3 linked regions of the Drosophila melanogaster genome follow. Changing the gene in region 1 together with any one later gene gives a genetic interaction. Each region holds a gene or a part of one and is shown on either strand. Other genes may lie near its edges.

Region 1 (9,058 bases):
AGCAGCACAACCCGTCAAACAGGATTATAAAGCAAAGTAAGTCAATGCGAGAAAAGCCCGATGCTCGGCCAAAAAAAAAAAAGAAGAAAAAATCGAAAAACGAAAAGAAAAAAACCAAAAACAGAGAAAATAAAAAGCAAGACTGACAGCTGGTCGTCGATGAGGAGGTAGGTATTCGAGCAGCACAGCAACTGGTATGGTCTGAACCAATCTGGTCCGGTCTACCCTGCCTAATGAGCCGACTTCGAGATGAAGAGGACGGCGGCGACGACGACGACGACGACAACGGCGACGGTATCAATCCCAAAGCCCAGGTTCGGTTCCAGGCCCATGATCTCAAGTACCTCGCGACCCCATGATGATCATAATAATGACGATGGCGCGGTGACGATGACGAGGCCACATCGAACCCACTTGTCGGCCACTCCGGTGTGCCGGGGATCTCAAAATGTGTGTGCTGTGCTGTGTCACCCTCCATAAAACCGAACGACCTTTGCCTTCGAAAGTGAATTATGCCCAGCAATATCAACTCGTCATGGACTAACCTGCTGATAAAGCAATATAACGCGAGAGCGACGAGTTCGGCTTGCCAAGGGACTAGTTATAACTTCAGGTTAAAACGGTACATGGGCGAACTTCCGGTTAAAGGAAAGTTAAGCCTAATATTGAAAAAAAATCGACTTAAAATTATATTGGTCTGGTATTATTATTATAATCTTACAGTAAAAGTTTGATCGGGCTTTAAGTGTTTTTGTGTTAAGTTAAGCTTCCTTTTTTGTTGAATAAAAAATATAATTGATTCACTTTTCTAATTTCACTTTAAAGGTTTTCAACTTCGCAACTCCCTGTAATAATTCCCAATAATTCCCTGTCGACACTTTGTGCTGTCGCTTTTTTTCCGAGTGCGTTCTTATCACGCAACCCCAAAGATAAAGAAGCGATAAAGAGCTGAAACGAAAGCAATGCACATCATATTTATGCACTCCCCGCCAGCCAGCAACTGTTGCCATGTGGAGCAGCAGCTCCACTCGCCGGCACCCGTTTCTATCTGTTTGTATCCCTCTCCCTCTGTGGCGACCAGCTGCTTATCGCGGTGGGCACCCTCCAAACCTCTGACCCCAAGCAACGCCACAATAACCCCTTTACAATGCCAAGCATAAACCTTGGACAACAAATCTTTTTTGTGGCACTTTCAATCTGCGCTCTTTTTCATATTATTTGTACTGTGCTTTAATTGTTGGTTTTCTGTACCACTGCGTTTTTGCTTGATATTAAAGTTAGTTTTGGGAAATAAATAACAATAATTTATATGTGTATATATTAATCATTGGAAAGTGACTAAGACTTAGGAATCTGGTAATGCAGTGATTGAAAATGATATATTAAGACATTTTTGTGAGCTCAGTCGGGCCCTAATGCACTTTCCAGCTATTTTGCATGATTTTCCTATTAACTTGGCATTAGAAAATCCACAAGGAGATGCCATGTCAGTCATTGCATTCTGGTTTTTTCTACGCTGTTAATATTTAATAATTTATTAAGTCAATTATCGCGGAAGCTTATTCAAATAAAAGCTTATTGAAAGTGCAGTTATCTGGCGGCACGTGGATCTGCGAGAGAATCACGCGCTTCTAGAGCAACTAAGAGAAATAGAGAATTACATATATATAAATGAATACATATGTAGATTTCTATATATTTATATATACATATACATATACATATATATCGCTATATAGAGAAGGAGAGGCCCGACCAGGCAATGTGCAATAGTTCAGAATGCAGCGAGTGCGAACGCAAATGCAAATGAACGGCAGAGGCCCTGCAATGTTTATTGAATTCATTACAATAATTAAAGAGCAAACGAACGATTCGATTCCACTCGACCGATGGCGAAGTCAACCAGGAACGTAGAGCCCCCAAACGGCGATCTTCGATTGACAGCTGGGACAACTGACGCATGGAAATCATGGATGGGATCATCTGACTTCGCAAACGCAATCGATTTGCATTACTAACGTTTTTGGGGTCGGCGCGAAAAACGAAATAAATTAAGCAAAAAGAAGCGTTCGAAAAAAAGTTCTACACATCTGAGTAGAATATTTAAAAATCACAAAATAATACTAAGAAATAACTACTGGTATTCCGACTATATCTTTCTAAACAAAACAATATGTAGTGGCTCTCATTTAATGATCATTAAATTTCCATTACTAACGTTTTTCGGTTATCGGTAAAATCGACATTATCGATATAACTTATCGTCATTCTCAAACGAGCTTATTAGTAAGAGCTTTACTAATTCTTGAAGAATACTAGAATACGAAGAATACGTTTAATGTTGTCTCTCAAAATTAATTGACTTCCCGGTTTCCCTGCTTCAATTACAGCTTTTTAGACAAACTTTCGCACACTTTCTTGTTATCAACTGGCACGTTCCACCAATGTGGCTAGCAAACACTCAAGATATGATAAAAGTCACAATCGCAAGCACATAGGACGACTATACAGATGTGTGTATAGGCTTATATGTACACTTTTTTTGGGCCATCAGCTGCTGTTGTACCTTGGCACATTGCGAATAGATAAAAGCCTTATCTGTAAATGGGGAATAAAAAAGCCTCTTTCGACAGCTAACCGAGTGGCGAATCAACCCATTTATGAAAATTAAACCTAATCACATTTCAATGTCAATACTGATGTCAAGAGAATATTCAAAAGCATCTGAAAACGGTGCGTATACGAGATCGCTGGCAAAATATGGCAACAAAATCGACCTTAGTGGATCGCATACGAAAATCGGGGGAGCAAACAAACACAGAACGAAAGAAATGAGCTCCACGCAAACGACACACGCTTCAAGCTCTGCTATCAGTGTGGCGCTGGGGCTCTATTTTTAGAGCCATTATCAGCGCTGCTCTAATTAAGATCTCCCCTGCCCACTCCCATGACAAGTAACACACCAAAACGGACTAATCAAAACCCACACGAACTGAAAGATCATCTATTGGAGCGACACTGCAGCGCCGAACGTGACCGACTTTATGATTCTAGTCGTTTTGATCTTGAAAGTGAAACTAGGAATTACTCGAATAAGGTTATAAATCACATTCCCTATCGGTTGTATTAAAATTTGGGTCGTAAATTCAATAGATGTGACTACTTTAACACAACAAAAAGTCCAGCTTTCCTATCTAAAATTCTAAACACCAATATAAATAAAAGAACCTAACTCTAGTTTCTATTAAACCTCTTAACTTTTATCAAAGCTTATTTTTATAAATATAGCAATAGCAATTTATATTGGAAATATTTCACGGAAGAATGAATATTTTATTGTGGCGACTAAAAAAAATGTTGTTGTAATCAACATAAAATACCATTTAATTTAAATTTTAATTGATGTGTAGGAAAGCACTGCTTCAATTACTTTTTTAATCGCGTGACGAAACAAAATTTGACTTTTAGAATATTTCAATCAATTGCCGATTAGATTCGAATCGAATTTAGGAACTTAAAAAACATGACATTTTTCATTCAATCAAGTACACCTACTCGTAATTGTTAATAATATTTACCCGCCAAATGTTTGCAATGGGAAATAGCTGGCTAATTTGTTGCTCCTTGTTGATTGCGATTTAAAAAATTGTTGATTTTGCCGGTGGGATTTGTTGATCGCCGTTTGCTGTTGTTAACTGGCACTGTTTTACTTTATTTTCCTGGTTGCTTTGCACTTTTTTATGGGTTTGTTTTTTTTTTATGGGTAGTATATATGATTGTGTTGTTGTTTTGAGCGAAACTTGTGCGGATTTCTTGATTTTTAGTGGTTATTTAAATATATACATATATATTTTTTAGAATTCTGTTGGCATAATTTTCTGCTCACACACACACACACTCATTAAATGGGTTTCTTGTTGTTGCTGGGCGGCGGTTTTGCTTAAGCTAAAGACGATTGTAAAAACGGTAAATTAGAATATATATATAACAACAATCAAAATAAACAAATAAAAAGAGCGCGAAGAGAGCGGCGCGATTAAAGAGCGTAGTGTGTGTATGTGTGTGTGCCGAAGAAAGAGAGGGAGAGAGCGAAGAGAGCGATCACGTCACGTCATCAATTCATGCCAATTGGACGCACACACAACACTTAATTGGAATTCGTATGAGAATTCAATGAAAACCGTGCGGCGCAGTCGAAAAGTTGTTTAAAGTTCAAATGGGTAAAAAATTTTAATATAAACACGTTTCGGAGCTTACTCCAATTCGCTTTTTATTCGCCACTAGTGTGCGTAACGTATTTTATGTGCCATATAGTAGGTACATATGTATGTATTTGTATGTACAACGTGACTGCTACGAAGATCATCCAAGCATCGCTATTTAATACGTTTTGGAGCTTTTCTCTTATTTTATACGATTGTCGTATGTAAAAAACGAACGCGTTCCTTCTACGTTTCAGTTTTGAGTTCGGCACATTCACATGTTTTGAAAGCGAAACATATTTATTTTCCACTTTCTTGATTTGTTTCTACATTTGCGTTTTAGAATCAACGGTGTTCGGCCCCAAACGATTTGGGCCTCAAAAGATCACTGCGTTTTTTGCATTGGTTTATATTTGCTTTGCTTGAAGTTGAAAAGGAAAACGATGAACGATGAACGACCTCGTGGCTTTTAACCGCAAGCGAAAAAACACAGACTACTCGTTAACTGCTTTCTAGTTGGATGCGAACTGACAACTGAAACTGATTCGCCGTCGCCTTCGTAAAAGTGTTCGTTTCGGCGGCGCAAAAAGGCGGTCTGTGCGTGTGTGTGTGCGACCTATGTCCGCGTATGTGAGAGCTTGCTCTTAGCATCCACTCACGTTCCACAACCGCTCACTTCACCGCTTTTTTATGTTTGTGGCGCGCTTCGTCTCACACACTCTCACACACTTGGGGCCAAAAAATTAGTGGGGTATGCCAAATCGATATGTTTTATTTGAGTATTTTCTGCGTGAAATAAGAGAAGTTATAGCTATAGCTATAAATGCAATAGATATTTTAAATCTTAAAGCATACAAATTTCTCTCTTTAAGGGATATTAACCCCAACTAAATGATAATTCGTATAAAATAAAAAAGGAATTGTTTCAATACTTACAAATTTAATAATATAAAACTTAATCTATTTATTTTTAATAACGGGTGACTGTTTTAATGAAAAGAATAAAGTTCAGCTGCAGTGAAACATTTAAGACGTCATTGCATATTAATAACAATTTGAAAAGTATTCATTATAAAAAACATGTTATTCACTATTGAGGTGACCGCCTTTGTGCCCCCGTCAATATTAATAAATAAAAGCCATAGTTTACCTATTTTATACATTTGGAATTTAAATTGTTTCTTTTCATTTCGGTCGCGCTGCTCTGAACTCGAAATTCTCGACGATGGAGGAAAGGGAACGGCGGCGGTGGGTGGTGGTTGGGCGTTTTGGGTGGGGTGATGGGGCGGTCGGCATTGCTGATAAGGCAGCCGTTATCTCGCGATTGTCGCTCGCTCGTTCACTCAAGCTCTCTCTCTCCCTCCCTCTTTGAGGCTCCATTTCTCTCTTACGTTCATTGTCTCGTGATGCGATGGAAAATTTCCCGAAATTGCATTCTACTGATAATGCCAGCAATGCACATTTGTGCATATGAATATGGGACTCAGAAGTGCCCCGCATCTCTTGCAGTGTGCGAGCTTTTTGGGAGCATGTATTTTATGGTCAAAGTCCCCCGCATCCCCGACCACCGAAAAATAAGCCCCTCCCGGTGCCAGTTTTTTTTTTTTTTTTAATTTCATTTTTCGCCTAGGCCCGATATCTCTATACTTGTACACACGTTCGCGTCCATGAGAGTGTGTATCGGTGTTATTTTAATGTGCCTGCCACATAAATTCCGCAACATTACACGGCTAATGAAGTCTAGACGCTGAGGACGGAGAAACCAACAGTTTATGGATCATCCAAACTTAAAGACCGACCCGATGCGATCGTCTCGATCCCTCGAGAGGGGGGATTAGAAACGAGCCAAGGAGATGAGTTAAGGACTTTAGGGTGCATCTTGGCATATCTAGGATCTTAAAGATTTCAAATTTGCAGGCTTCATTGGGTAATTTTTTGTTAATTTGTAATTTTTCAGAATATTTTTATTGCTTAAAAAGCTCTTTTAGTTTTTTTTTGTTGTAAGATTATAGCTCTATTAAATAGGCCTCAAAGTCTGCAAAGTCCCGAGTTATGACAATAAAAGTTTGCATGTACATAGAGATTTTGGAATGCGAGAACAACAAGAAGATAAGTCCGCCAAAAGATACATATATATTTTAGAATGCTATTAAGTTGGCTTAAGAACGATAAGTAACACGTTGGTATAGGTAAGTTCCATCTGGAAGTGGGCTTATAAATCACTACTACCATTTAAATGAGCATGTAAATAGCATGTTAACTGGAGTATCAAATGAATTGAAGTTCTCAAGACTAATTTATGCGTTTGAATGATCAGATAAAAGTTAAAATCACTCGAGCAGTGTATCAATAGGCCGCCCACTTCCCATTCCATTCCATTGAAATTACACAGACGTTTCAGCTATCGCCAGCTAATACTTGATCATAATTGTCAGCGGCAAAAAAAAACAGAAAATATACAAAAATATGTATAGAGCGTTTCATTTGCGTTGGCGCGTGGCGAATGGCTAACTGTCGTCGCCGTCTCGGTCTCCGTCTCGTAATCACAACCAAATTTGACAAACTGGACACGCAAGGCACTAAACTCAGGTTTCAAACTGCGCGCCAAATCTCGAAAGGAGCTTTTCTGGGCGCCAGAGTGCCGAAAACGAAAGGGGTTCTTTCTACAAGCGACGCTCAAGTTTCAAAGGTCTCGAACTGCCTAAATGCTTGGCAAACTCTCTAGAACTAGATAGAACTAGATTTAGACCATTTTAAAAACTATTTAACTATAACTATTTAACTACATAAAAAAAGAACATTGTTTAACCGCAGCACATATCAAATAATTATTTAATTTCATTGCTATAAATGATAATCAGTTAAATACTCTGTAAATTACGTATACGCCCAGTTGTACAACCAGCTATCATCGTTATCAATACAGTTTATTAGATCTTAATAGCACTTAGTGAGTAGTGTGCAAAAAACATAAACGCCACCCTTTAGCAGGGCATTAGCACCAGATGCTCCGGCTAATTCGATCCAAAGTAAAGCCAGGCGATCCAAATCAAGTGGAGCCGATCCGGAGTGGCTCTACACACGCTTGGCCTTCAAAAAATTATAATTTCTGTTTTAATGTCTCGCCTGTGTTGGCATATCGTCGATGGATCGAAGGGGTTAATGGCAAGGGGGTGGTGGTATATTGCTATATTGGCATATTATAGCGGTCTCAAACTTGGACTCCAGTTGACTCGCCCGACGATTGTTTACCAGCAAAGACTGAGACAGTGTGTGTCTGTTTCATATGGAAATTTGAACACTGTTACTAACAATTTGTTAACTCAACCATTTTAGGCAGCCCTGCAAGTGTGAGATGGTGCGAGGGAGTAAGAAACACGATTGTTTTCCTAACTCGTTGGCAGCGATAGTAGAAATTGTGATTCCTAATTGATTTAGAAGTGGTTTATGCGCCAAAGAATACTAGATAATATATTTACTCAAATACATACATATACATATCAGTCACTATTAAAGCATTTCGCAATGGTGACCTAATACCGAACACCTCCCCAATAATCGCTTGATCAACTGTGGCCGAAACGGTATTTGCTGTGCCACTGCCACTTTGGCTAAAACGAGATTTTGTGACGTTGGTGTGTCGCTGTCGAAGTCGCACGCTGATGTTGATGGGGCGCTATCAAGACTCTAAAAGACACCCAACCAACATCAACTCTCGCTGGCAGGCGGAATTATGCTTATATGCTTATGTGCGCATGTGTTTGTCAAAAGCGAGCCCCCCTAATGTGGCCACATGGAATTCTGCGAGCAGTGGCGTACTCAGAAAGCGGGCTAAGGGGAGGGGCTTATTGGAAGTATACTAAAAATAAATAAGTTAGTTTCAGAGTAATAATTGATTCAATTATTAGTACGTTAATATTAATATCTAATACTTATAAAAATACTTTAAACCTCAACCCTCCCCCACTTCGTCGCCCATGTGAGCAGCAGACTCTGTAGACGGCGATGTGAAGGCTTTCGGGATGTCGTAGTACTGGACCCATTTCCAATAACTGTACCGGTTCGACTTCTCCAACCTCCCCCTTCCCTCCAACCACCGCCCCCCCCCCCCTCACGGTAGCGTGTGGCATTTAAAATGCAAAAATATCGCTTAAGCGTTATCTCTAATTTATTGAGATTAAGGAATACTGATTAATTTAACGACGTAATTGATGCAGCCGCGAAAGCGCACGACTTTCGATCGGCAAGCCGACACAAAACAGATACAGATACAGATACCCATACATATGCACAACGTACCTGCCCCCAGCCCTCTTTTCAGATCTTTTCACTGATTTCCACAGAGCATTCCTGTTGGAAGCTTGTAGTGCGACTTAGATTGACGGAAACTGAAGCGAGTGCACGCAAAGAAAATTAGTAAAATATTTTCAAATTGCTTTAATATTTATACGTCTATTAGATCTTACCAAAGATGTGAAATGGAATATAATATTGAAGTTTAAATCCTAATAAGGGTAATTCTTTTGTAACAAAAGTACAAAATTTCTTTCTTATATCAACTTAAAATTAGGAATCGTGACAGATAGTTTCAAATAGTTCGCAAAGAAACGTAACTCAACTTGATGATCATATCATGCCTTAAGAATCTGTTAATGCCAAGGGGCGGAATCGGTGGCGCAAAGAAAGGGGCGTGTGTAAATTTACAAATACATATGTTGGAGAGCGAGAGAGGGAGAACGGCGCACATGTAAATGCGATGGAGCACTTCCTGAAGCCAGATACCAGATACAAGATACAATATCTGTAAGATACGAGAATGCGATCCACACTCGCTTGGCGTCCACATCAGCACACCA
Region 2 (8,691 bases), on another chromosome or scaffold:
ACAATTGTGCATTTATTTTGCTGTTGTTGTTTGTTATCCCTTTTTTTGCGCCGCGAGGCAGAGCCAGAAATTGAAGGAGGGGTGGCAACCCTGGTCGTCTGCTGGTCAATTCCATTTGCTTGGCAACAAAATCGCGAAATGCCGACAGAAGAGCAACAACAAAGCAAGAAAAAGTAGCAAGCAGCGCACCTCTAAACGCTTATAAACGCCACTTTCACCGCAGCATAGACAACAAAAGCAATTTGCGCGTGTGGGCTTTGTTTTGTTTAGCTAATTAAAATATTTGCACACGTATATTGTGTATTGTGTGGGGTTAATCGACATTTGTAATTAAAATGCACACCAAATTTTTCGCCTTGACAACAGAGTCGAAAACGAGTAATCGAAATCGAAATCGAACTTGAAACAGCTGTCACTCCACGGTGCGTGTATTTGTGTGCGAGTGCAATGTCAGAGGTGGGCGTGTGTGTGTGTGTATGTATGTATTAGAGGCGGCGCCCCGGCAGAAGAAAAAAAAACACAACGAAAAAAGCCAAGCCACACGTTGAACTTGCGCGCTCTCTCGCTCGCACACAGACGCATGCTTTTTGCGTCGCGTGTCGTTCGTTCACCTGCCAAAGAGAAACACAGAGCGATAGAGAGTTGGGAGAGCGAGCTGATTAACATCGCGTTAACAGAGGCAGAGAGAGCGCCCGATTGTTATTATTTATTATTTTTATTTGCGACGTACGCTTCAAACCTTTTCCGGCTCCCCAATTCATACACATATATGCGTATTTGAATATATATATACTTAACTATAAATAATTACAATTCAATTAGTTGATTAAACAAACGCCTTCTCTCATTTCATTGCAGCAAGCAGCAGCACAAACAACAACAGCAGCAGTACAGTTTTGTAAACAAAGCGTGGCGACAATTTTTTACCATTATCAATTGCAAAAGGAAACATTCAAATTTAAAAGTGCTTTTGAAATGTTTATGCAAAATGTTGAGCATAGCGGAAGCCAAAAATTACCATAAAACCAAAAGTACATTAACTTGAGAAAATCGATAGATTCTAGCTAACAAATCGATAAAGAGAAGACAAAAACAAAAAAACAATCCATACAACGCAGAAGAAAGACAGATCGCAAAAGTTTTTGCTTTCTTCTCAGATTTCCCCCCTGCGACTGTGTGCGTGTGAGTTCGCATTCGCGTGTGTGTGTGTGTGTTTTGTTTTCATTAGAGCACACACACACGCCCCGTTGTGTGGGAGTGTGTGTAATTGCAATGTCGAGCGGTAAATAAACGGAAAGAGCAATAACAATAATAACAACAAGAGCAGCAGGAGAAACGTGTTTTTGTTTTGTTTGTTTCATAAATGTTTGACAATTACACTGTAAAAAAGAAAGAAAAGTAATTCGTGACAAGTGCGCGTACAAACGGTAAAGCAAATTCGAAAAAAAGACTTGAAACTTGTGTTCATAATTTTAAACAAACAACAAAAAGTATTCGACCCATTTAAAAATATATACGAAAAAATATATATTAACCAATACCACATACATAAATCTATATTAACTGGTAATCACGAAAGGAAATTCAAACAAAAACAAGTAATAAGGCAACAACAACGACGCAAAGGATAACGAAATGAATGCAAAATACACAAAAAAAAATATTTAATTTATAAAAAAAAACCTACAAATCACAAGCAACCAAAATCCGACACAAAAACACAATTTCAAACTATCCAAATCGCATGAACAAATAACGCAACATATATATATTCATCTATATAAATATATATAAGCAAGAGTATATATATGTCAAGTACATATAGCGTAATACATAGGAGCCAACAAACCAAGTAAAGATTCATTAATCAGCGCAAAACCAACAAACATCATCCCCATGTATAGATTAGAGGATACGAATAGCGGCGGCGTTATGGATAAGAATAAACAGAAACGTAAGTATTATCCACTGATCCTTTTCCAAAAAAAAAAAAAAAAAAAAAACTAAGGATCATATCGCTCGGACCGCTCCAGAAACTGCCAAATATTTCATCAACCTTTCACCATTGCAAACCCAGTTTATAACCACTTCTTTTTGTCAATTGAAGTATATCCTGCGAATTTATTCGGTACAATCATTTTTTTAGTGTAAATTGAAGTTAGTTTTTATTGCCATATAGATGGTACTTTGTGCCAATCGAAAATTGTAGTGCTATATTGTAAATACGAGGGGACTGACTATAAATCAAATAAAAGTCAGTCATTTTGCAAATACACTTGACATTCCAAGATAAAAAATGGTGTTAATGTGGCCGCAGTAGTACAGCTGTAACGATACTACATTATTTACCTTTCGAGAATAAATCAGTTCAATATTACTGCTTTCGATGGCAGTGCCATGTTCTGCAATAATTCCACGCAAATGGGGCATATCACCGATAATAATAATTAGTATCAGGATCAGGTGCTATTTTAAATAATGGCCAGATTTCGAACAGCTAATTTGGGCTGCCTTTCCCCACCATTTCCACCGCTTTTCCTGCTCAGGCGAGGAATGCAACAATGTCACTGCATTCATTCAGTAAATAATATGTCCAACTGTTTGCTTATCACTCAACCGTCACCGTCTGTATTTGTTCCAATCCGCACTGTTTTGAAAAACCCGTAAGTCTATGCGGGACTTCCCCATTATTTGCCAAATATGTCGAGACTTTAGTATCCGATTAGCTGGCGCCGCCATCTGTTCATAAAGTTGTCAAGTGGTGGGTAATAGTAGTATTACAGTCGCAGTCACGTCACGATGTGAGTCACCTGCTCCGGATGCAATTATCGATGGTGTGTGATTGTTGGTAGTGGCCCTATCCCCCCCCCCCCCCTCATTCCTCGCCCAAAATGCAAGTGGCCAAAAAGGTGGCGGGGAGCGAACGCAAAATGTCGTCAACTATTTTTATTTTCGGCCGAGAGACGCGACAGACAAACAACGAACATGAGAACTTTGGGGCAAAGATCCCACATTGCGAACGGAGGATCGGATCGGATCGGATCGGATGGGATCCCTATAAATAGAGGGACTGGTGGCTATGCTCCTGCGAATCTTTCGAGGGGCCCCGAACGCATTAATTATTCAACTCTTCCATCGATTGGCAAGCGTTCAATTTGTTTATTATAAAAGCAAAATATTTTTTAATTGCTTTGGCGAAATGGAAAACACAAATTAGCTTGGCGTGTAGACAGACATTTACATAACTCGAAAGAACACAAGTTTATAATTATTTCAAAATCGTTTGGCATTACTGGGCATTTTAGTTTCGAAAACGATTTCCTATTTTTATGGCCCACTCTGCCAAGTGGCAGCTCAACCAGTTATACAGTTTTGTAACGCACTGCATTATGTACACACACTTTTTGCCTGGGGTTAATTACATTTTATTTTAATTTCACATTTCGTTTGCTTTGTTTTGATTTCCTTGACTTGCCGACGACGCAAAAGCCGAAACAAAGAAATGCATACTTACATATGTATGTATGTATGTATGTATGTATATTTGTATCTTTGCGCGCACGAGACAAGTGCGAGCACTTTCCCACCCACAACCACCCAGCGTTCCCCCATTTACCCCACATGCATTCGCTACATGTCACTACGCTACATGTCATTATTGAAATGCCATTATCAACGAAAAGCGGAACTCCCTCTGTCAAAAAAAACACTTGTGATAGAAAACAAAAGGCCAGCCAGAAGTGAGCTTTTCACCAACAATAATGGGGGAGAATACCTAAGAAAACCGATTTATTCGTTTGTGGTTAATCACAAGCAAGTGCAAGTAACTCTGTGATCAATATGGAGATACTGAAAGGTATTTACCCAACACTGTTTCAATCAGTTGAGCTTCTTCAACACCAGAGATGTGCACTCCGAAACAAAGGTCGAAAGGTATGGATTTGACCAAGAGATATCACCAAGAGATTTTTCTATTTCCCATTTACTCAAATGCAATTGTGCAACACTGAACGAGTCTAGTGTAGTGTTAATATAGCGAATTCCGATGCCAGATAGCCGGGCATTCCCTACTTTAGCTTCATGATCATTACCACGCCGAGATCGTGATGATCGTTGCTGCAATCTCGCTATCGGCGCTCGGCTTCGTTCGTGTGTTCCGCATAAGTGCAGCAAAAAAGTGCAAAAACACCAAGTGAAATAAAAGAGCAGGGAGAAAACACGGTTCCGTATAAATAAAACAGACGACAACAACAACAACAACGACGAGTGGCAAACTTTGGGGACAGAACTGGGGGAACAAAAACCGAGGCAGTTTGCGCTGAATTTTCACACGAAACAGACCGCGCTTCATACAGCCAGATCCAAATGGATCTTAAATTACTTAAATAAACTATATAAAAATAAACGAAATAAGCATATCATTTTGATTGAAAAAAGGAAGCGGTTAGTGCAAAGTGCGTTCGCGATTCCGATTGCGATTCCGATTGCCAGTGATATGTCGACGGCCCTGGTTTATTGGCAGTCAATGAATGGCGGCGATCCGGTTGACAAGGCCACCGCGGATTGGGCGCCATTCGTGGTTGGTGCAGCAGCTGGTGGCAGCTTCAGTAGCAGCATCATCACCAGCAGCAGCAGCAGCTTGAACCACCATCCGCACAACGGCCACCACAATCACCATCATCCGCCTCATTACATCAATTATTTGGCGCAAATTGGCTGCCAGCATCGTGTCAGAAATTGGCCAACAAATGGCAATCAGGATCAGGCGGATGACGACGACGCTGGCCATCAGATCATCTCTAAATTCCTGCCCAAAAGTGCCTGGGACACGGTGCTGTTGGATGTGAAGCGGGATGTAGATGAAGATGGAGATAGAGATAGAGATCGGGTCGATGGCAATGTGCTGATGGTTCAGGGATCGTCATCATCATCATCGAGAATGAAGGCGGAACGGGCACTCTATTATACTAGTAAGCCCATTGGATGAAACAGAGAAGTTGGCCTAGAAAAATTTGTTGCATGTCAGTTTAACTGACCGACAACTTTTTTTTTTGCGTTTGCACAATTAGTCAACGAATAGAAAGGAAAAGTATCTTTGCTCTCGCCACATGTTTTTTTGGAAATTAGAAATGGAGTGTTGGAATATCAAATGTCGCGGATTATCATCGAAAACACAGCTGCTGCCACTTACAGGTTTTACCCTGTTGCTTGATTTTTTCATTCTTGTTTATAACGTTGGGTCTATTTTTGTTGCACAAGCCATCAGCGAACGAAGAGCGAAGAGCAACAAAACAAAAAGAGTGAGCATGTGAAATGGTCATAGGAACGTGGGGAAATAGAATCTACAAACGGCAGAATTATGTATCTGCGCCTGCATATTGTGTAATAATTTCAGTTCAGTTCCGTCTGGTTCTAAAATTAAGGTAGAGCTTCTTTTTTACTTACCTCTGCTGGCCTGCCAATGCACAGGAAAAAAATATTGCTAGCAAAAGTAGATTCTTCGGAAAGGAAGAGAAATGTTCCAATTCGTTTTTTTTTATATGGCAGCATCATGTGCTTACTATCTTTAACTCACTAGTATGACCACCAATTCAACAACTAATTTTAGAACGAATTTTGCATCTTGAGTTAAAAAAAGAATGCATGACTCTGGGCTGGCTCTATATCAGATCTTAAATGGGAATTGGCAGTGTTTTTCCTGCGGTGTGTGTCCACACTTTTCGCCCTACCCTTTGCTTTTATTATCGTTTTGGCAACTCTTGACGCTGACGTAGTCAGGTGTGCAAGAAAACAGGTGCATTTTGCAGAGGAGCGGTGTCCGAGCGATCCGGTCAATGAACCAGCACAGAACGGCGCACAACGAAGGCGGCAAGCAAATACATCGCAATAATTATATATACACACATATATATTTGTATAATTCCCGCCGATATCTGATAGTATCTCTGATCTCTTCCTTTCTCTTACGCTCTAGTGTCCGCTTATGGGTCCAGCGGCGGCAGCGTCGACGCAGCGCAGGGCAGCGGAAGCGGGGGCGGAAGACAGCGCCACGCCCCACTCTACGGGCGATTCGTCGACGCAGAGGATCTGCCTGCCACGCACCGGGATGTCATGCACCATGTGAGTATTATCAACTAGCATTATCCTTATCTTCAATCCAAAACATGCATTTACACACAAAGGACATGCAGAAGTTGTGTTTCTTTCTTTTAGAAATTGTAGAACATTTTTTGTTTAGAAAAAATCCACAAATATTTCAACGGAGCCGTGTAAAAGATAACTTTACTTCGTTGAATATGAACTTACTTTTTCCCATGCTCTACTTAAATTAAAACATGCAATTAGAAAGGTTTATGGCGCATTTGAGAAAGCCGCGCCCTCGGAAGAACAAAGAATGGTATTTTTCAGGACTGGTTTTGCCTTTCTCAATGCGGCCATTAAGACTGCGTATTTATGTTAATAACGAAGCTTAGCAAGTACATTAATAATGTTGTTTTAAGAAATTAAAGAGATTGTGTTCAAAATAAAAATGATTTGATCTGAGCACGATCTGAGCCAAAGCTAGCTGGGCATCACTTTATTGAACAGTTTGAGTAATACGTTCTCCATCTCATTCCACAGCACTCTAGTCCCTCGTCTTCGTCGGAGGTGCGCGCCATGCAGGCCCGGATTCCCAACCACTTTCGGGAGCCCGCCTCGGGACCTTTGCGCAAGCTGAGTGTCGATCTGATAAAGACCTACAAGCACATCAACGAGGTGAGTGTGGCCCATAACTGGCGTTTAATCTGGTTAATCTACAAGCAAAACATATGAGAACCAATTGATAATTGGATATTTGATCATAAAATCCTATGTTTATCGTGGCAATATTGAGTTTGGATCATGTTTACCAGGTTCTCTTGTCGTTACAATGCACATAACTTTTCTGTTTTCATTTGCATTAGTAAATAGTGATTCTATTGATATTTTAGCTTGGCAAGATTCCATATCATTTCAAAAAGTATATTCTATCTAGTTTATGTAACTGTCTACCTTATCAATTACCATTGCGATGATGTTGTTCTTGTAGTCTGCAAAACTACGAAGGAACCTTGGCATCCATCCATCCCGATTTCTTTCTTCTTTTTTTTTTATTTACGCTTATATGTCGATCGGAATTTCGTCGGGGGCTTTTCTCGTCTTGTGGCTTTCTTTTTTCGGCTGTCTGACTATCTGCTGACAGCGGATATTTGTGGCGTTGAGCTGGGCTAAAGATACGTTTGTCCTTGACCCGTTCGTGGGGTCAATTCCCCCAACAGCGTCACCGTTCCCCCGCAGCCAGCCATTTGCAGTTGGCTTCGATTGACGTCGTCTGCCGCCTCGGTTGACAACAGCCGAAAAAAAATAAATAAATAAAAGGAGCATAAATGCTACACGCAACTGTCTCGGTTCTCCTGCCAAGTTCCCAAATTTCTCAACGAGAACGTCCCCCGAATAACTAATACTTGTTTCTTGATGGCCTCTCATGGAAACTGTCAAATGACGCTATGACAAAATGCCGCCGACCTAAATCGGTGATTATGCGCCTTGAGTGGGTGGGGCGAATGTCGCATGCCTCATAAAAATGTTAATATTTCACGCAGTTTGAGTTCTTACGAGTTGCACGCAACTTTTCCCAATAAAAAAAAAACCTTCACTTTCTGGCATTAAGGATAGCTACTATATTCTATATTTTCTTTGACAAAGCGTACTTAATTGTAATTAATTTAAACCGGCATCTTAAAATGTAGCTTATTCTCAACGGAAGTCAAACATATTGAAATCGGTAAATGAGAATGCTGCAGTTGGGCGATTTGACAGCTAGCGATGTTGCAAGTATTTGAATTTGACAGGTGCTCTCGAGCAGTTGGAGTGCTTTTGACAGAAGTTACAGTTACATTTGCAGTTGGCAGCTTGTGCCGTTGGAGATGCCGTAATATTGCAAATGCCTTTTCGCTGCCGCTTTGTATGCTACAGTTTTCGATTTCGAGAGAGTGGGGCTCTCTTCCTCTGACTCTGTCTCCTGTATCCTCTCGCAACGTGGTGCTATCTCACTTGCACCACCGCCAACTTGCCGCGTTAGCAACAACTTTTTTCACCAAGCTGCAGCCTTTTTTCCCCCGTGAAAGAGAAGCCGTGGTGGGGAAAAAGAGAGTACGAAAGAGTGAGTCGAAAAAGGGAGAGAGGATTTTCTCTTTTTTTTTTTTAGCTTGGCGTCGCCCTCTTTCGGCATTTTTTTTTTTATTTGCCGGTCTTGGTTCTCATTTTCGCGATTTCCCCATCTTCCCACTTTGTGTTTACATTTGTCGTTGATGAAGTGGAAGTAACGGGATTACTTGCAACTGGCCAATAGAATCCAATTATCTTTAACACTTCAATTTTTGGAAATTGTATTATTTTTCTATTACTTCACATGCATTTTGAACATATTATAATGGGTTAGAAAACTAATATATGTAAACAACACAGAAATGCTATCTATTGAAATTGATCCGACTATTTTAAGTGTATAATCGTATTCTCCTGGCAGATTCGCGTTGTTGCCCTTTAGGTCACTCTACTTGCCGCCAGGTGGCGAACATGATCATAATATTACAACAAAAGCATGAAATGTGTTTTTTTGTTTTATAGTTAAAAAAAGATTTTTTTTTATTTGTAAATTTTTAATATATA
Region 3 (7,786 bases), on another chromosome or scaffold:
CTGACAGCGGGAGGAAATCTGCGCATTCCCTTCGGCAAGCAGGCGTTGATCTCGCCCGGAGAATCCTACGTGGCCAATGGCAGGCAGCTGAAGCAATATGCCGTCATCGAGATTATTGACAACGACATAGACGAGACCCCGGCTCCATTCCTGTCCGGAACGAGTTTCTTCGATCGCTATGGAGCACATGTTGGTGCTCCATCCGCCAATGGAATCCAGCTGGACTCACGGGCTAATTCCTTGCTGCTGGAGCAGCAGCAGCTTGCCATCCAGCCCAGATCCCAGGGTGGTGCATCGGGAGGGGATGCCATTGCCTTGGGATCGGGCGGCCTGGGCTTTGTGCGTTTGCCCAACGGTAATGTGTATCTCGGCTCCGGATCCCTGGGCTACATCAGTGGTCAGCAGCGGGTGGCCTCCGTTCTGGAGGCACGCACTCGATCGGAATCCACGTCGGATGCCCTGCACTTCGGTCATGGTCCGCTTGGCGGAGTGGACAACCTGCTGAGGTTCAAGTAGAGAGGCTACCTTCCTTGTCCGCGCACACATCCGCACCTACGTCTATGAAAATATGTATATTTTATTGTAAATATGTAATTAAACAAGTTTAAACAACTTTTTGTGTAGACCGTAAGCTTGCTATTAAACTATTTGAGATTCTTGTACATTTGTCCTATGCGAAACATCGAAACTTGATCAAATAAATATAAATATGGTTAAGTGATACGAATTTTAATTGGATGAAATTTCAAGTTTCATATTTAGCACAGTGGCGCCATAATGAAAAGCCATAAAAACGGGCGTTTAAGGAACTAACAACTTTATGCGCTAACGCTGAAAAGTAGACTACAATTTTAAAAGTCGAATGATAGTATTGGTAATAAATAATACTAAGAACTGTAGCGCGAAGTTTTAAACCCCTCCTAATATTTAATTATTCTTAACTATTCTTATCTTCATAATTATATATTATTAGCGCAACTACCAACTTATGGCTATGTTTGATATTCATTGAGGTTTTAATAGCCAAAGCCATTGTTTTTTCAACTCAAACTTAAAGCTAATTAGTTTGTACAATTTGTTTTGACTGTCTGGCTTTGTTTACAGATTGAATTAAATTGGTTTGCCTTATATTTATAACTCTGTAAGCATCTGGGATCCACTATTTGCACTATCTCGTGCGGTCGAATTTTTGCACTGCGATGCTAAATCTTTGTCGAGCAAACACTTTTTGCGATTAGGTAATTATTCATGCGCAATATTCAAATGGGTCTGGAACGTGCCGGGATTAGTCGAGTGTAGTCGGATGTAGTTGTTGGACCACAAGGGATCGGTCTATCTGAACGAACATGTGCTCAGCACACTACTTTTGTATATATAAGAAAAATGGTAAAGGGCGGGGCGGGGGCCAAAGGCGAGGTCGTTTCCCAACTGCGCAGTTTCTTAAAGATCTATTTTTTTGTGGCGTTTGTTTGCCGGTTTTTGGATACATTATAAATATGTATGCATATCTTTGCAATAAGTGGGACACGCGCTGCTGGGGCCACTGACTGACTGGCTAACTAAAAAGCCGGCCGGTATTTCCAGCTGTCTAACATGTGTACCGCCCCCCAAAAAGCCCCCTTTCGCTAAATTTCTTCGTAAACAGTTCAAACAGTTCAACAAACTGCCGAAAATACTACTAAACCGAAACTGACTCAAGGTGAAGTGGAAAGTGTTCTATCACATAACGCGTGGCCTGCCAAGGTTGAATTGCCGATAAAGAAAGTAATTTGGCACTGAATTTCTCAAACATAAATTAAAATTTATAATTGTAAATTGGCAGCTACTGAATCCCAATGGAAGGTGTGGTTCTCTTTTAAATAATGTGTGCCTTTTTTTTATTGCATTTTACTTAAGATCTACGATTTTACAAGGTAACGGGGTCAATATGACCGAGAGAACAAACAAGGTGGAAGAACTAAGAACTTAGCATCTAGTTAATGGGTACACTAAGCTTATAAGATCGGTTTTAGTGGGTGCATCTAAGAACTAGTTGGATTTGGCAGTTGCTGCATGGCGGTGTACACGCCACACCCCCTACAGATCCAGTTGGAACTGTTCCTGGTCCTCAATCTTCAGCGACTTGGTCTGCTTGATCAGTTCCGTGGGGACGGGCACGCACTTGCGGAAGGGAGTACGCGGAGTTCCCCTCAGCAAGCAACTGGGCACGTTGGACGGCGGAGTTTGGCTCAATGGGGAGCCACGGAGATTCTTCATGAAAGCCCGCTCGTAGATAAGTTTGGTGCCTGGAATTATAGGAAAGCGGAAATTTTTATTAGTCAAGGTGGTCTGCGTTGCATCAGAAAGGTATTCAAAGTTCCCCACTGATAAGCCAGCTGAGTAAACGCTTCTTTGCCGCGCTACTCTGAGTCACGAACTGTGGAACATGTGCTCGGGATTATCTTCCAACTGACTGACTCGGCGAGATGGCCCAGTTTCATCAGCCAAAAAATGGTGAGTGAGTTTTACAAAAATAATGTATCACAACTCAAACAAAAGCTTGTTTGTTGTTTGAGCAAAGGAAAGAAACGGTATACTTGTTTATGTTTTCGAAATATGTTGATTAATTTCATCTTGATATCATATCTAATGATAAGAAAATCACTCCACTTTCCGGAAGGAACTTAATAATACTCGATGTAGTCTCAGCTTCCAATTTTCGAAACTTACCTCCAGGAGTGGTGGAGTAGAGGGTTCCGCCGGGCGTCGAGGAGTACACCTCGGGCATCTGGATCGGATCCGAGATGACAACCTTCCTGGTGATCATGGGCAGGGCCTGGGTGATGGCTTGACGGGCGGTGGGTGAAGCGGACATCTTAGCTGATTGATTGGATTGGTTTCGAAAACTTTCCGCTGGACGTGTAAGCACACTCGATATGGCTGCGACAATTTGATTGTTTACACAAACTGCGTTGTTTGTATTTCGTTGCTTGTATCAGCTATAGAGCTTGTGTGGCTGCTATGTGTTCACCGTTGGCTGTTCGCTAGGCGATTGCTGGCGGTATTACGAAGTGTGGCTCTATTTATACCCCCCCATTCTTACTCTCTCTCGCTCTCTTCTCGCTCTTTCGCCTGCTCTCTCGCCTGATTATTCTGCTTGGTCGGCTGATGTTTTTTGTTTTTATCTGGTGTATTTTCTGCGTAGTTTATGACAAACCGGCTGGTTCTTGTTGTTATTGCCGTATTCTAATATATTCCCCTATTGTTCTTATTTTTGTTGCAGCCTGCACACCTCGGAGGTTCTAGATGATAAGGGGTGTAGCGATGGTGGGGGGCTGTCTTGAGGGGCTTCTCGCCTTGAGCTCTTGTTTATCTTTGGTCATTTGTTATTGTTTAATGCACGGCAATATTATTGGTAAACAAGTTAGCCAACAGCACTAAACGCCAATCGCATTCTTTTCTAAAAACCAAGTCTATTGTCGATCTTGCTAGGGAAATGATGATGACTCAGGTGCAATTGGGATCTTATCTATGGCTGTCTGGGAGTCAAGAGGTGTTCCGCAGAATTTCGTGAAGTACTGCCGCTCTCTCCATGGGGCCATTATTTTGCACTCGTTTTCGCGAAATACCATTAATTAGCATAAAGACACGTCGCCGGCAATCGTGACGTAGGCTATGAGTGCCTTCTATGCATGTGCGAACTCGCGGAGCATAGCAATTTGAGCAACGATATTGCAGGTTTTTATGGGCTAAAAGATACCCAGCATTTCACTTTTTTTCAGGCGGAAAGTGTTCATTATTATCTGGCACGAGCCGTTTTGAAATAATTATCACGAAAAGATACACGTCTTACATAACTTACTTGCTTTATTTACTTAGATATGCAATTTTAGCGTGATTTCTATATTTAGGAGTGCACAATCCAAAAGTACGCTTAGCTCATATCAAAATTTAACTTGACTGATATGAAACATACATATTTAATATCTTTTCTTTGGCACATTGACTTCTTAGCCGTTTAATATTAGCGCACATATCTAAAGAAATACATATATCATATCACCAAATTTGGTGATCGAACCCTTATTAGTTCCCAAGTTCTTTGAGGTGGAATATCTTGTTTGGAATCAAACTAATATGCCCCACTGATCGCAGCAAGCATAGGGTGGATCCAAGCAGCGGCACGAGCGGTTTTAGCTATGCGGGGGCGATGTTGACGATATTTAATCGTTGGACGCATGTAAATAGTGCTACAGGAACTTTTGCCTACGTTGGCGCCCACGATTCGACGTAATTCGGATATTGGCCACGGGCCATTCCGAGGGATATGGGGTTGACAAAAGGTGGCCACGTGTGTTGATCTGCGGCGATCATGATCTCGATGTGGGACAGGGGATGGCGCCCACCTAGAAATCTGCACAAGGTCGATACTTAAGCGTGCTAATATTTATGATGGCTAAATGGGGAAGCTTGACAGACCTTGAAAGTAGATTTCCATGTGACGAGGAGCATATTTGAATTGGGGAAAGCATGACCCAAATCCATCAATTACACTAGATGGGGGTGGGAGTTAGCTGGGTGCCAACTGACCCCCAAAGTAGTAAACGGTAAACAAGGGAGCCAGAACACGAAAAACACGGACAATTTTGCCGTGTCATCTAGCACGTAGTCCACAGCATAGAAACCGCCCTACGTGCCGGCTGATATGTTTATATATTTTATTTTTTGGGTGAGAGAGCGGCTCTTCTCCGCATTTTCCACCTCCATTAGGGCTTATCAACCCTCGAAGAAACCAGTTCGGATTTTGCTTTCGTTTTCATCAGATACAATATGATGTACCTGCGCAAAGAGAGAGAGACAGGCCTATAGCCGCGAGGAAAGAGACGGCAGGCAGTTTTCCTACTGCGTTGCAGCCAAGTTAAAATGCGTCTTGAGATATTCCTAGCCGGTTCTCTAAGCGCCGAGGGGTGTTTTTCCCATCCGCCGGGGGACAGGTAATACATACGTACATATATAGTGAAATTCGGATGAAATCTTTTTCGGGGAGGCTGATGAAATTGCACCATCGAATTGCGTGAAACATACGGACGAACGGTGGGTCATTACCATCGGTGGGTTCTATTCCCAAACGAGTCTGAGATGGTTGTGAATGGGCTAGACGACATCGACTTGTTTATATTTTTCGGCTAGAGCGAAAACCATGAGAAACGTAAACAAAAAAGTCCAATGATATTTATATACTCTGCCAAATACACGTGGTAATCAAATCAATGAATGTGCTGTATTATTGCAATATAATATAAAGGTATTTAGGACTATGTATTGTGGTTTACCAATTCAAATTATTTATAGAGTGAATATCATATAGCTTATTATCTACCCATCCTACTTAAGATGGAAATCACATTTTATTCAGTGGTAAGTAAGTTTCCAAGAAAACTCGCAGATATACAAGTACTACTTGACCATTTTTGTTATCTATTACCAAACGCCCATCAACAAGTGAACTGCCCTAACAAAGGGAATCTTCCGAAGCAAATAAGACCCCCATCTCCGCTGACGTCGATGACCCACATTCGGTGAATCCGATTGAGAAGCGGCGTCGCCGTCGCGTTGGCCAAAAAATCAAATCACTTGACTTTGTTTATGCACAAAATATGAAAAGCGACGAGAAAAAAAATGCGGAGGAAATGAGCAAAACAACATCACGTTGTCTATAAATTAGCATGTGCTTTCGTTTGGTAGATAATGAACTGCATAGATAAGGATAAAGCCAGCCCAAGATCGAGACAGCTTGACGCTAAGTCATTGCCTGCTGCCATCCATCCACATTCATCCAGGGATCTTCGATCTTCGTCCTCTCCTGGGACAATCGCGCAACTGCGTCTTAAATTACATCAGCTTAACAATATGTCTGGTTTTTTTTTTTTTTTTGGTGATCTCGGACTTCAGACCTCGGAGGGGTGGGAACTTCTCTAGTCTATCTGGTGTCTGCTACCTCTTACCGACTCCTCTTTCTCCTTTTGTAGAAAGGTCAACAGCCCTGCTGATAAGGTTTTGCGACAGTCGAAAATTCAAATCGGAAGTGAAGAAGTACTACAGATGCTCTCACTACATCGATTACATCTATATTATATAAAAAGAAAATGTTTAAGGTATTTATTGATTCTACAATACACTTGTAACTTTTATTATTGTTTAATTTCACATAGTTACGATCTCTTAACTTTACAAGTAGTCGAGGATCTCTTCGAAACATTAATACCTAAATATAGTGTACGTACAGCAAATAAAGATCAGAGTTTGTGGCTCGCGATCGGACAGAATCCTCGCTCCGATTGCGATCTGCCTGTCCAGATCTTTCACTTTCCGCTGCCATATATCAATAATGCATGGGGCAAGAATTAATGGAAAAATGGAATTTACTTAGCGAACTTTTTTTTTCAGAAACCTTCACAACGAACAATGAACTAAACCCGTGACGATCGCGGTCCCCGACCTGAACCGATCGACATCTGGCCTGTGGTTACTCGAATTGTTAGTGGCTCGTGGATGAAAGTCTACTTTAATCCATCGTAGAAGGTGTCCAGCATAGTGTGGTTCACGAATCCGAACTCCCAGCGCTGGCGATCGTTGCCATTCTCGCAGGAATTGGCCACCACCTTGGCTATGCCGTTCTCCACAAATCCCTCCAGGCAGCGCTTGTTGTTCTCTCCGTGAACCAACCTTTGGGTTTGCCTGTCATAGTACCAGAACTGATTGCCACCCTGACTGTGGCAGCTCCACATCCAAACGGTGGCATTCGGCGGTCCCTCGTGCACATCCAGGCACACTGAATCGAAGCCCTTCATCCGGAGGTCTCGGAATATGGAGAGCTCCCAAAACTGATTCGGTTGCGGATGGGTCCTATTGTCCGCACAGCTGAACATACCCACCGCCTCCTCGGTGGACTTGCCCATGTTGTCCAGGCAATAGACCGGGTTGGCCACGTTCTGAATGATGCCGGCGGCGTAGCTAGGTGGTTCCACGGGCGGGAATTTGACGAGGAAATCAGGCGCCACCTCCGTCATGAACCAGTGGAAACTCTTGCACTTGAGTCGCTCTCGAACTCCACGCTGGCGGGTCAGATCTCCGGCATCCAGGTTGTCATAGGTCTTCGGATCGCGTTTGTACACATATTGCTTATACTCATCCATCCAAACCTCTGCCACGCGCTTGTGGTTCTAAATGAGATTTAAAACCAAATATAATTAGAATTAAAAAAGTAGAACTGGTTAGAGAGTAGCACCCACCTTGGCCACAAAGTTGTGTCCCCTTGGATTGCCCCTTGGCTTCATGGGTCCCCGGAATATGTGTGCCACCCTCGAGCAGGGAACATCCAGCAGCATACCGCCACACATCCAGATCTTGAAACTCAGCTCGTACTGCTCACCGCCCCAGATGTCCAACTGGTCGTCGTATCCGCCCAGATCCCAAAAGAAGTCCGTGTTGATGGCAAATAGACCGCCCATCATCACGGGACTCCGGTACGGCATGGACTTGTCCAGCGCATCTTCGGGCAGAACCGGAAGCTGTTTGTACAGCATCTTCCAATCGAATCCACCTCGTGCTCCGTCCTTATTTCCGCTAAAGTAAGAGAAATCTTCATGCGAAATAGTATCCACCATGGGGCAGGTGGAGATCTTGGGATTAATGGCAATGGGTTCGATCAGGGGAGGCAGCTGTAAATATAGCAACATAGAGTATTCTTCTGTATCCAAACATATTGCTTACTAGAAAATCCTACCCAATTGTAGTTGACTTCTAT

Evidence for each region. Genes that interact genetically often act in the same process or in processes that back each other up.
Region 2: of foxo (region 1) and mnb, changing one suppresses a phenotype caused by changing the other (phenotypic suppression), as found in Drosophila melanogaster (one study listed by BioGRID).
Region 3: of foxo (region 1) and Thor, changing one suppresses a phenotype caused by changing the other (phenotypic suppression), as found in Drosophila melanogaster (one study listed by BioGRID).

The regions. Positions count from the first base shown.
Region 1 is NT_033777.3:14,052,628-14,061,685, reverse strand, and holds the start of foxo (forkhead box, sub-group O), read right to left. Parts: upstream 4,742-9,058; 5' UTR 4,662-4,741; exon of another isoform or gene 4,258-4,661; intron 3,946-4,257; 5' UTR 3,579-3,945; intron 1-3,578. UniProt on the Drosophila melanogaster protein: Transcription factor involved in the regulation of the insulin signaling pathway. Consistently activates both the downstream target Thor\d4EBP and the feedback control target InR.
Region 2 is NC_004354.4:17,870,684-17,879,374, reverse strand, and holds the start of mnb (minibrain), read left to right. Parts: upstream 1-4,334; 5' UTR 4,335-4,495; coding exon 4,496-4,970; intron 4,971-5,974; coding exon 5,975-6,120; intron 6,121-6,621; coding exon 6,622-6,756; intron 6,757-8,691. UniProt on the Drosophila melanogaster protein: Role in the specific control of proper proliferation of optic lobe neuronal progeny.
Region 3 is NT_033779.5:3,473,684-3,481,469, reverse strand, and holds Thor (thor), read right to left. Parts: upstream 3,037-7,786; 5' UTR 2,855-3,036; coding exon 2,710-2,854; intron 2,286-2,709; coding exon 2,077-2,285; 3' UTR 1,858-2,076; downstream 1-1,857. Other genes in the region: CG15414 (uncharacterized protein), read left to right, coding at 1-516; Pgant4 (polypeptide N-Acetylgalactosaminyltransferase 4), read right to left, coding at 6,540-7,202, 7,272-7,700, 7,766-7,786. UniProt on the Drosophila melanogaster protein: Repressor of translation initiation that regulates eIF4E1 activity by preventing its assembly into the eIF4F complex. Hypophosphorylated form competes with eIF4G1 and strongly binds to eIF4E1, leading to repress translation.